2 linked regions of the Ovis aries genome follow. Each later gene encodes a partner of the first gene's protein in a complex. Links are inferred from orthologs where the notes say so. Each region holds a gene or a part of one and is shown in the gene's direction. Other genes may lie near its edges.

Region 1 (4,263 bases):
AGATGGTGAGTTCAGCTGGAACAGGGAGCTTGTCATGAAAACAGACCATGATGCTCAGCGCCCAAGACCAGGAATGGGGAGGGGAGGGAGGGAGCTGAGCTTCTTCGTGCAGGAAATGGAACTGACATGACAGGCTGAGATTGACACGCGTGACTGTGACTGATAGAGGCCATCTCTGGCTAATCCTGGGGCAGCTCGTTGTGATCCACCGTGACTGCAGGGCCCAGTCTAGTCTGCAACCCACTAAGAGATGAATTTTGACTGAGACAGATGGGCATGTCCAGCTGTCACTGAGGAATTGTGACAGGCAAGCTAAAGAGCAGCAGCACAGAGACAAGAAGAGCCAGTCACCAATGAGACCTTGGTTTGCATTCTAGCCTGGCCTCTCTCTGGCTGTGCAACTGCTCGGAGCCTCAGTTTTCTCTTCTGCATGTTGGGAATACCGAGTCTGCTTACTAGGGTTAGTGCAAGGATTAGATATCATATACCCAAGGGGCCTGCCCTCTGGATTTTGAATTTCCTTAGGCAGCCCTCAGAATCACATAAGCCAGTTCCTTGTAATAAAGCTCTTAAATACCTCCCGCTGGCTCTGCTTCTTTGATTGAACCCTGAGTGATACAACCACCCAGCACAGAGCTAGGCTCCAAAATAGAAGTCACTAATTAATAAAGAATCACTGTCATTAATTAAATGCATAATATTTAATAATTGAACTGGGTCTTTGTGTGGATTCCAGAAAAACAGCAGAGAACAAGACAGGTTCCCTGCCTCAAGGTGCATATACAGCCTACCTAAGATTTCATACTAGGCCTGCACTGCCAGAAGATATCGGGTGTTTATGGCAGGAAGGATCACTGTGGTGACTGCGGCTGTTAGACTGGGTCTTTCTGGCCTGGGTTTCTGAAGCTCTCCCCTACAGCTGAGTATGGTTGGAAGCAAGACCAGGTGATAAAGGGCCAACTGTGACACTCACTCTGATTGAGATCGGCTGACCAGGACTATGACTGAGCCTCTGACTGTGGCTACTGGACAGCTAGGACCTTGACCAGAACCTCAGAGACCACGACTGATTGAAACCGAAAAGCCGTGACTTGCGGATGTGTTTCTGTACCTGGATATAAAATGCATCGTTTGATGAAAGTTATTATCCACGGGTTCAAGAACTAAATCCAGCAACTCAAAGTAGCCAAAGGCAATGTTCCATGGGGCGGAACCTGCTGGCACGGGCCGTTTCTTCCGCGACCCAGGGACCCGCCCGGCCCCTTTCCCCTGTTGTTCCCCTCCGGCGCTATAGAGGGAGAACTTCCGGTGCGCTTCTGCGATCCCTGGACCTGGGCGAGACACCAGTCGGTGAGTGCAGCCTCCTGTCCTCTTTCAACTGTTCTGCTTTCGTTGTCTGTGTGGTCCGGCCACCCTTCTTTCCGGCTGGGGATCGCGGAGGGCCTGAACTCGGGCACCGAGCTGGGACTGTGGCGTCCCGGTCTTGAGCCGGTGGTGGGACCGACCTGCCTCTTTCAGGTGGGTTACTCTTATTGCTCCCCTTGTAACCGTCAGATACGCCGTCGCCAGAACTTTGTGGGGGCACCTGGGAAACTTCTTTTTTCCTAACTTTAGAACTTATGGGCTCGGAGGCCTTGGCTCCGCCTGACGTGGTTCTGGTGTTCTCTATCTTCGGTAAGGTCTTTTCCACGAACCGAGCCTTTGTTTCTCATCTACAACATGGATATCGTGCTTTTATTAAAAACAGATGTTTAGCCAGCGTCTAATATGTGCTAGAGGTACGAAAGACCCGCATCTCCTAGAGGTGACAGCCCTCTATTAATATTTGCGAACTTGCAGTTGTGATCAGTGAAATGGAAAGATAAAAAGCACTTTGAGAGCACATCACAGGAGATCTGACTTAGCCCCAGGTCGAGGAAGCGTTGCTGAGAAGGTAAATATTAAGCAGAGATCAGAAAAATGGTTTGAGACAGAGAGGAGGGAAGAGTTTTCTATCAGGGGAGCCTCTGTTTGAGGGTCTGAAAGAGTCAGTGTGGCTGCAGCAGAGCTTGGGGAGGAAGCATGATATGAAACAAGCTGGAGGAGTTTCCATGGACCAGGCCATACAGCCCTTGTAGGTCGCAGTGGGAATTTTGGTTTGCCAAGAGCCACGTGAGAAGTCTCTCAGAGGATGTTAAGTATGGGTGGTGACATGCTTAGACTGGCGGTTTGAGAAGGTCACTCCTGCTTTTGGATGGAGAAGGGATTGCAGGGACAATCTGGCTGAGGGACATGGTAGCTTAGATTAAGGATGTGGTGGAGAGAAGTGGGTAGATGTGATTCTCTGTATCTCAAGGCATCTTCTTTGTGCCAGGTCATTTGCCAGCTGTGGAAGATATAGTGAAGAGAATTACAATCTGCTGGAAGTAGAAAGAAAGAAGTGGCATTATCAAAGAGGAGCACACAGATGCCACTGGGAAAATGGCTAATTGATGAGCAGTTATTCTAAATGCAATAGCTGTTCATTTAATAAATATATTAAGTGCCTTTTGAACTCAAGATTGGGGATAGTAAGATGATATAAATTATTTAGAGCAGTGGCTTTCAGACTTTTTGCACTGTGACCTACAGTAACGCATACATTTTACATGGTGACCAAGAGTCCATACAGACACACAAAGCTTCAGAAAACAGTACTTCGCTTTACTTCTTAGGATGTACTCTGATTTTTTAAAATTTTGCCCTTTTATTTAAAAAAAAACAACAAACAATGTTGGTTGAGATCCTCTAAGTTGATCTTTTAACCCATTATCAGATTGTGACTTGCAGTTTGAAAAAAAATGTTGATTTAGAGTCATAATCATTTGTGTGGGTTTTGGGTAAAGACAATAAAATATGTCCTTTCCATATTGGGAAAAGTGTTGGTCTTCCTTTCCTCATGGTATTGTTTTGTTTGTTTAAATAAAATGAGTAAAAGGAATTAAACAGGCAGCTGGTTCTTCTGTTTGTGAAGTTTTGTGGTCTTGTTGATATGTCTGGCTGGATTGGAAGTGCCTGGAAGGCAGTAACTGTCTTCTCCATGATTATTTCTGTTCGTGTCTGGCAAAAATCCTGCAGGCTCTCCAAGGTTATTTGTTGAATTGAATAGGTAGGTGTCTTGGGACTAGAGAGTTAGACGTGTTCTGTTAAAATTAGTTCATGTTGGACCCATCCTTATAAATACAGAGACTATGTCTGTTTACAGAAGTCTTATCAGTGTGTCCTCTTGGGTAGTTCAGAGGTAGATAAAAATAAATGTTCTAAGGTCTTGGTCTTCTAAATACTGATCCGAGGCCAGCCATGCCACCTGGATCCATTTGGGTGAGCAGTCCAGAGGTGCTACTGACTGTGGACCCTTTGGAAAGTTGTTTCACTCCCTGGACTTTAGACTTCTTTATATATATATATATATTTTATATGTATATTTGTATATATGCAGGAGAAGAGGGTTGTGGTTGAAAAGCTCTCCACTGCCCAAACCTTTTGTGAATTTTATTTATTTTATTTTATTTTACTTTATTTTACGTTACAATACTCTTGTGAATTTTAGATGCTAAGCACCCCGTTTCCACTTTCTGTCCATTTCTGGGCCTCCGCTGAGGCTTATGGGAAACTGGGTGGATGCTTCTCGAATCTTCTAAGTTTTAGACAGAATTATAGTTTAAGACAGTTTAGGCACACTAATCCTTTAGAGTGGACCAACCAGGCATTCTCCACCTTCATCTTCTGTTATGAGAAGGAGATCTGAAGAGTGCACAGATCTGAAGGAGCTTCGGAGTGCACAGTGGGAAGAACGCTGGCCTGGAGGGCAGGGTACCCGGGTTCTAACTGGGTCCTTGTGTGGTCTTGAACATGTCTCTTTTCTTTAACTGATGTCTTTCCAGCTGTGCAGTGAGTGTTCTTGCTCATTAAACTCAGAAACAAAAACTGTCTTCTCTTTGAGTGTCGTTTTCTTTACCTGTGATGAAAATTAAGGTAGAAAATTATGTCACTGGAAAAGATCCTGATGCTGGGAAAGATTGAAGTCAGAGGAGAAGGGGACGACAGAGGATGAGATGGTTGGATGGCATCACTGACTCAATGGACATGAGTTTGAGCAAGCTCCAGAGTTGGTGATGGACAGGGAAGCCTAGCATGCTACAGTCTAAGGGGTTGCAGAGTCGGGCGCAACTGAATGACTGAACTGAATTGTTTCAGGGGTCTAACTCAGTATCTGGCACATAGAGAATGCTCAGCAAATGAAGA
Region 2 (4,533 bases), on another chromosome or scaffold:
ATCTCGGGAGAAACTGAGACTTGATCTTACTGGCTCTGCCACCAGCCACAGCTTGCTTTGCCTCCCAGGAACCTAAAACCCATGGTGGCTCATTTTCTTCTCAAGGCCTCCATTTCCTCATCTGTCGGGTCAACAATACACAGGGATGGGGGCTGTGAGTACCCCCTGCACGGGCCAGGCTGAGACCCCCCAGGCTGATCACCCATGGCCTCTTCTCTTCGGGCCTGCAGGCGTCAAGATCATCTTCCGGGTGGCCCTGGTGCTGCTGCGGCACACGCTGGGCTCGGTGGAAAAGCTGCGCTCCTGCCAAGGCATGTATGAGACCATGGAGCAGCTGCGGAACTTGCCTCAGCAGTGCATGCAGGAGGACTTCCTGGTGCACGAGGTAGGTCCTGGCCTTAGCGTACCTCACACCCGCTTCAGTAGATCCCCACCCCACTTCACCCTGGTACCCATGTCTTCTCCATCTAGGTGACCAACCTCCAAGTGACAGAAGCACTGATTGAGCGAGAGAACGCAGCCCAGCTCAAGAAGTGGCTGGAAACCCGGGGCGAGCTGCAGTATCGGCCCTCACGGAGACTACACGGTTCCCGGGCCATCCACGAGGAGCGCCGGCGGCAGCTGCCCCCCCTGGGCCCCTCCTCCAGCCTCCTCAGCCTCCCTGGCCTCAAGAGCCGGGGCTCCCGGGCAGGTGGAGGGGTCCCCTCCCCACCCCCTCCCGTCCGCAGGGCCAGCGCGGGGCCTGCCCCAGGGCCCGTGGTCACCGCCGAGGGACTGCGTCCATCCCTTCCTTCGCCTACTGGCAACAGCGCCCCTCTGGCCCCTAGCGGCAAGGAGGCCCGGAGGCAGGAGAAGGAGCGGCAGAAACAGGAAAAGGAACGCGAGAAGGAGCGGCAGAAACAGGAAAAAGAACGGGAGAAGCAGGAGAAGGAGCGGCAGAAGCAGGAGAAGGAGCAGCAGAAACAGGAGAAGGAGCGGCAGAAGCAGGAGAAGAAGGCCCAGGGCAGGAAGCTCTCACTCCATCGAAAGGCAGATGGACCGCCTGCCCCCCAGGACGGCGGGGACAGGTCCTCAGCATCAGAGGCCCGGCAGGATGCGTACTTCTGACCTCTGCCCTGGGGCTGGACTACGTGGCCCCCTCTTTTCCCTCAGCCAAGAGCAGACCTAGCCTGGGGTCCTGCTCCCAGCCCGCCCTTGGCAGGCTGTCCCTCTTTTTGAGGAAAGTGGCTTGTTCCCCGTCTCCGTGCCAGCCGCTGATCCCCACGTGGCCAGGACAGTCAGAACGGGGGGCAGCTGCATTTCCCTGGGGAAGCAGTGGACACCTCACCTCCAGCTCGGCCCAACTGGGGTCCCTTCCCAGGTGCCACTCTCCTGATTGGCCTTTGGTCACCGCAGGGGTGACCTGTGGCAGTGGGAGTCAGCAGTTTTCAGATTCTTACACTCCAGTCACTCCCCTTACCCGTGAAGTGAAGCTGGGTTCCTTTACCCCCTTCAGTCCTGCCTGTCTTCCCCCAGTTCCTGGTTGGGGGCCCAGGCTCTTCTTGCTCTCCTTCTGGACATCTCTGTGTTGTAATTATGTACAGAGGACCTGGTGGGCCCCGGGTGGGGGTGTTCACTCCATCTTCTGTTCTCTGGTTCTCCCTCCTCAGTGTTCTTGCACTCTAGTTTATTTAAGGGGACACGCACTGGAACAGGAAATGTCTCCCACCTCCCACCACCACCCTCCTTGCTCTCCTTCCTCTTCACCCACCTTTCTCTGTATTCTCAGGCCTCCCCTGCTTTATCTGACCAGGGCCCCTGCCTTTCACTTTGTCCCTTCCAACCCTCCAGCCCCTTCCTGGGTAAGGGTCTTCCCCTGAGCCCCAGGGGGTGGAACCCAATGTTTACATGTTCTTCTGTCTCTGCCCCCACCCTGTTCGGCCGCTTTGAGGAACCGGAAAAGAACCTGCTGTTGTACCTGGGCCTGTCTTTTGCCTTGTTATTTGATGAGTGGGGTTAAAGTAAGGACAAGGAGGGAGGGAGTGATGAGTTAGCAAGGATCTGGGTGTCTCTGGAAGCTGTTGACTGGACTTGGCAGATACCTTTGGGTCTTTAGTCTATTAGTCACTCATCAACACAGTTGTTGCGTTCCTGCTTCACCTCCACCTGCTGGGGATCTGCTGCCTCCGTTGTCACTGGCCTCCTGGAACTGTCTGTGGACAGCCTGCAGCATCCGGATCTCCTTTCCAAAGTGCTCGTGCAACTCCTGGAAGCTGAAGAGGGTCCTGGGGGTGGCTGGGGAGCCACAGTCCTCTGGGGGTGAGCCGGGCTCTTGGCCAGCTGCCTGGCACAGCTCCCGGTACTGGGCCTCCAGGGGGCGTAGCAGCTCAGCCAGCCGCGTCCAGGTGGCTCCGGCCAACGCCCACAGCCAGGCTCTCAGCTCCTCCCGGTTTTCTGCTGCCAGCCTGTAGGCCCGCCCACCATCTCCCCCTGGAGTCCGAATGGTAAAGGCATAAGGTTCTGTGGCTCCAAGGCGTGGCTCCACCTGGCAGTTCTCTAATAGGATGAGACCCAGGGGTGTGTGGTCAGCCTGGTGTTCCAGGTAGAAGAGGAGGTTTCCTCGCAGGATGAACCAGCGGCGCTGATAACTGGTATTTCGGGCCCCCTTCTTTAGCAGGATGCCCTCCCGGTCTGGAGCCTGTGTTCTGTACCCACGGAAGAAACGGAGCACGGACTTTCGGTGCAGTTTCATGGTAGCCCACTGTGGGAAGAAACCCTAGGAGTGGAGAAAGGAGGAGTGGGGCATTTGGTGATCCGGAGTACCCCAGCACTGCCCTCCTCTGGTTCCAGCAGGCTCTTTCTGGGCACTGTCTTGGTCTTGGTCTAGAGGGATTCAAACTTGAGTTTTCAAGAAGGACCTTCCACCCACCTCCCAACCTCAGCTCTGCCCCTTGGGCCAAATTACAAAACCTGGGCAGGACTGTAGTGCTGGGGTCCTGTTTGGGGGTGGGGTTGGCGGATATCCACTACGGCCCTTTCCCAGGCCTACCTGAGATGAGGGCACAAGGGACTTCAGGCCTCGGTACTGGGAACAGGTGCCACTGCCACCTCTCCTATTTGACTCTTCCCACCTCAGAAACCAGGAACTTGGCCAGGGGATAGGAGGCGGCTGATTTTAGACTTCCCCTGGGTCCTAAAAGGAGCTGGGTTCGGAAAGTCCCAGGAGAACCTCTGGGACAACAGCAAGGCTACACCTCGGACTAGCAAAGGGCGGACAACTGGACGCCAAGAGTAGGAAGGCAGGATTTCTAATGAGATGATGAAGGGCGCAGAACCAGCCGTGGGGAAAAGGAGACAACCCGGGAAAGAGAAAACTAGGGCAGGAACCCACCGGCCCTGCTGGGACTTTGTTCCTCCATCGTGAACCTGGGCGCCCCTTTCTCCTCAGAGCCTCTAGTGTTGTAGGAGGAAACCGAGATCACTTCCGGCCATCCTCGTCCGATCAGGGTCTAGGCGTTCAAATGTCCCCTCTTCTCACCATAGTCACCCCACACGGCTCGCGTCACTTCTGGGAGGGGGCGTCTCTCCCCGCGCGGCGCGTACTTCCGCCCGCTCCTTCAGTTGTTCATCTAACCCGAGTGAAGCCACTTCCGGCTTTCCCCGCCGCCTTCCGCAGTTCTCTTCCGGGTGGTGGCGGGCGGGTGGCCCGGATGTAGCCCTGGTGAAACCCTCTCTCCCTTTCTTCCCCCACCTTTCCTGGATCCTTAGGTGAGCGCGTGCCGGCGGGACTGCTGGTGTCCCCGTGGCCCTGCCGCCTTTCTAATTTGTACACAGCCCAAGACAGTTGGGAGTCACCCCGCGGAGTTGGGAGTTCGGCGCAGGGAGGAGCGGGGCTGCCAGGGCGCTAGGTCCTGGGTCTGCCGGGGCCCCTCGGGTTCCGAGGAAGCTGGGGGTGGTGGAGCGGGTGTTTACCCGCGAAGCACATCGCGCCCAGCACTGCTGGGGCCTGGAATAAGGGTGGTCACGTGGGGGAGCCCGTCTCCTCTTGTCAAGGGTGGGGGTGCCCGTAGGAGCTCCTCCGCCCGTCCGCTCTTGCGTCTCCGCACCAGCGGCTCTTTTAGATGCTAAGCCAAGTCCCGGGAGGGGCGGGGGGAGGGGCGGGTTCTGGACTACCAGCTCGCCTTTCGGCTCCTGATTCTGTACTCCCTTCCCAAAGTGGATCTAGTACCCGCCAAGTAAAAGATCTGTTGTGCAGGGGGCCCCCTCGCGGGGAGTTGCCTCCTCACCCAGTTCCCTTAATCTGCACCCTTTCCCTCTGCTCAGTTTGGAAAAGCCCTTCTGTCCAGTCATGCCAAAGAGGAAAGTGACCTTCCAAGGCGTGGGAGATGATGACGAGGATGAAATCAGTGTCCCCAAGAAAAAGGTGAGGGGGGCCAGACTCCTCTGTTCTGTGGCGGTGTGAAGGGAGAAAAAAAATAAATTAGAAGCCAGATGAGAGATCTGGAGGGACAAAGAAAGGATGGAAAGGGTCAGCTTTTCCGCGTATTTCTGAGA

Evidence for each region.
Region 2: AAR2 (region 1) and CD2BP2 share a complex: the UniProt entries of both Homo sapiens proteins name them as parts of the U5 snRNP complex. The link is inferred for Ovis aries from reciprocal best matches to the Homo sapiens genes AAR2 and CD2BP2.

What each region holds. Positions count from the first base shown.
Region 1 is NC_056066.1:65,348,136-65,352,398, forward strand, and holds the start of AAR2 (protein AAR2 homolog), read left to right. Parts: upstream 1-1,296; 5' UTR 1,297-1,518; intron 1,519-4,263. UniProt on the Homo sapiens protein: Component of the U5 snRNP complex that is required for spliceosome assembly and for pre-mRNA splicing.
Region 2 is NC_056077.1:27,062,712-27,067,244, reverse strand, and holds the start of CD2BP2 (CD2 antigen cytoplasmic tail-binding protein 2), read left to right. Parts: upstream 1-1,527; 5' UTR 1,528-2,110; coding exon of another isoform or gene 2,111-2,731; exon of another isoform or gene 2,732-2,755; intron 2,756-3,028; exon of another isoform or gene 3,029-3,113; intron 3,114-3,678; exon of another isoform or gene 3,679-3,747; intron 3,748-4,302; 5' UTR 4,303-4,327; coding exon 4,328-4,402; intron 4,403-4,533. Other genes in the region: TBC1D10B (TBC1 domain family member 10B), read left to right, coding at 231-385, 472-1,107; sesquipedalian-1-like, read right to left, coding at 2,111-2,731. UniProt on the Homo sapiens protein: Involved in pre-mRNA splicing as component of the U5 snRNP complex that is involved in spliceosome assembly.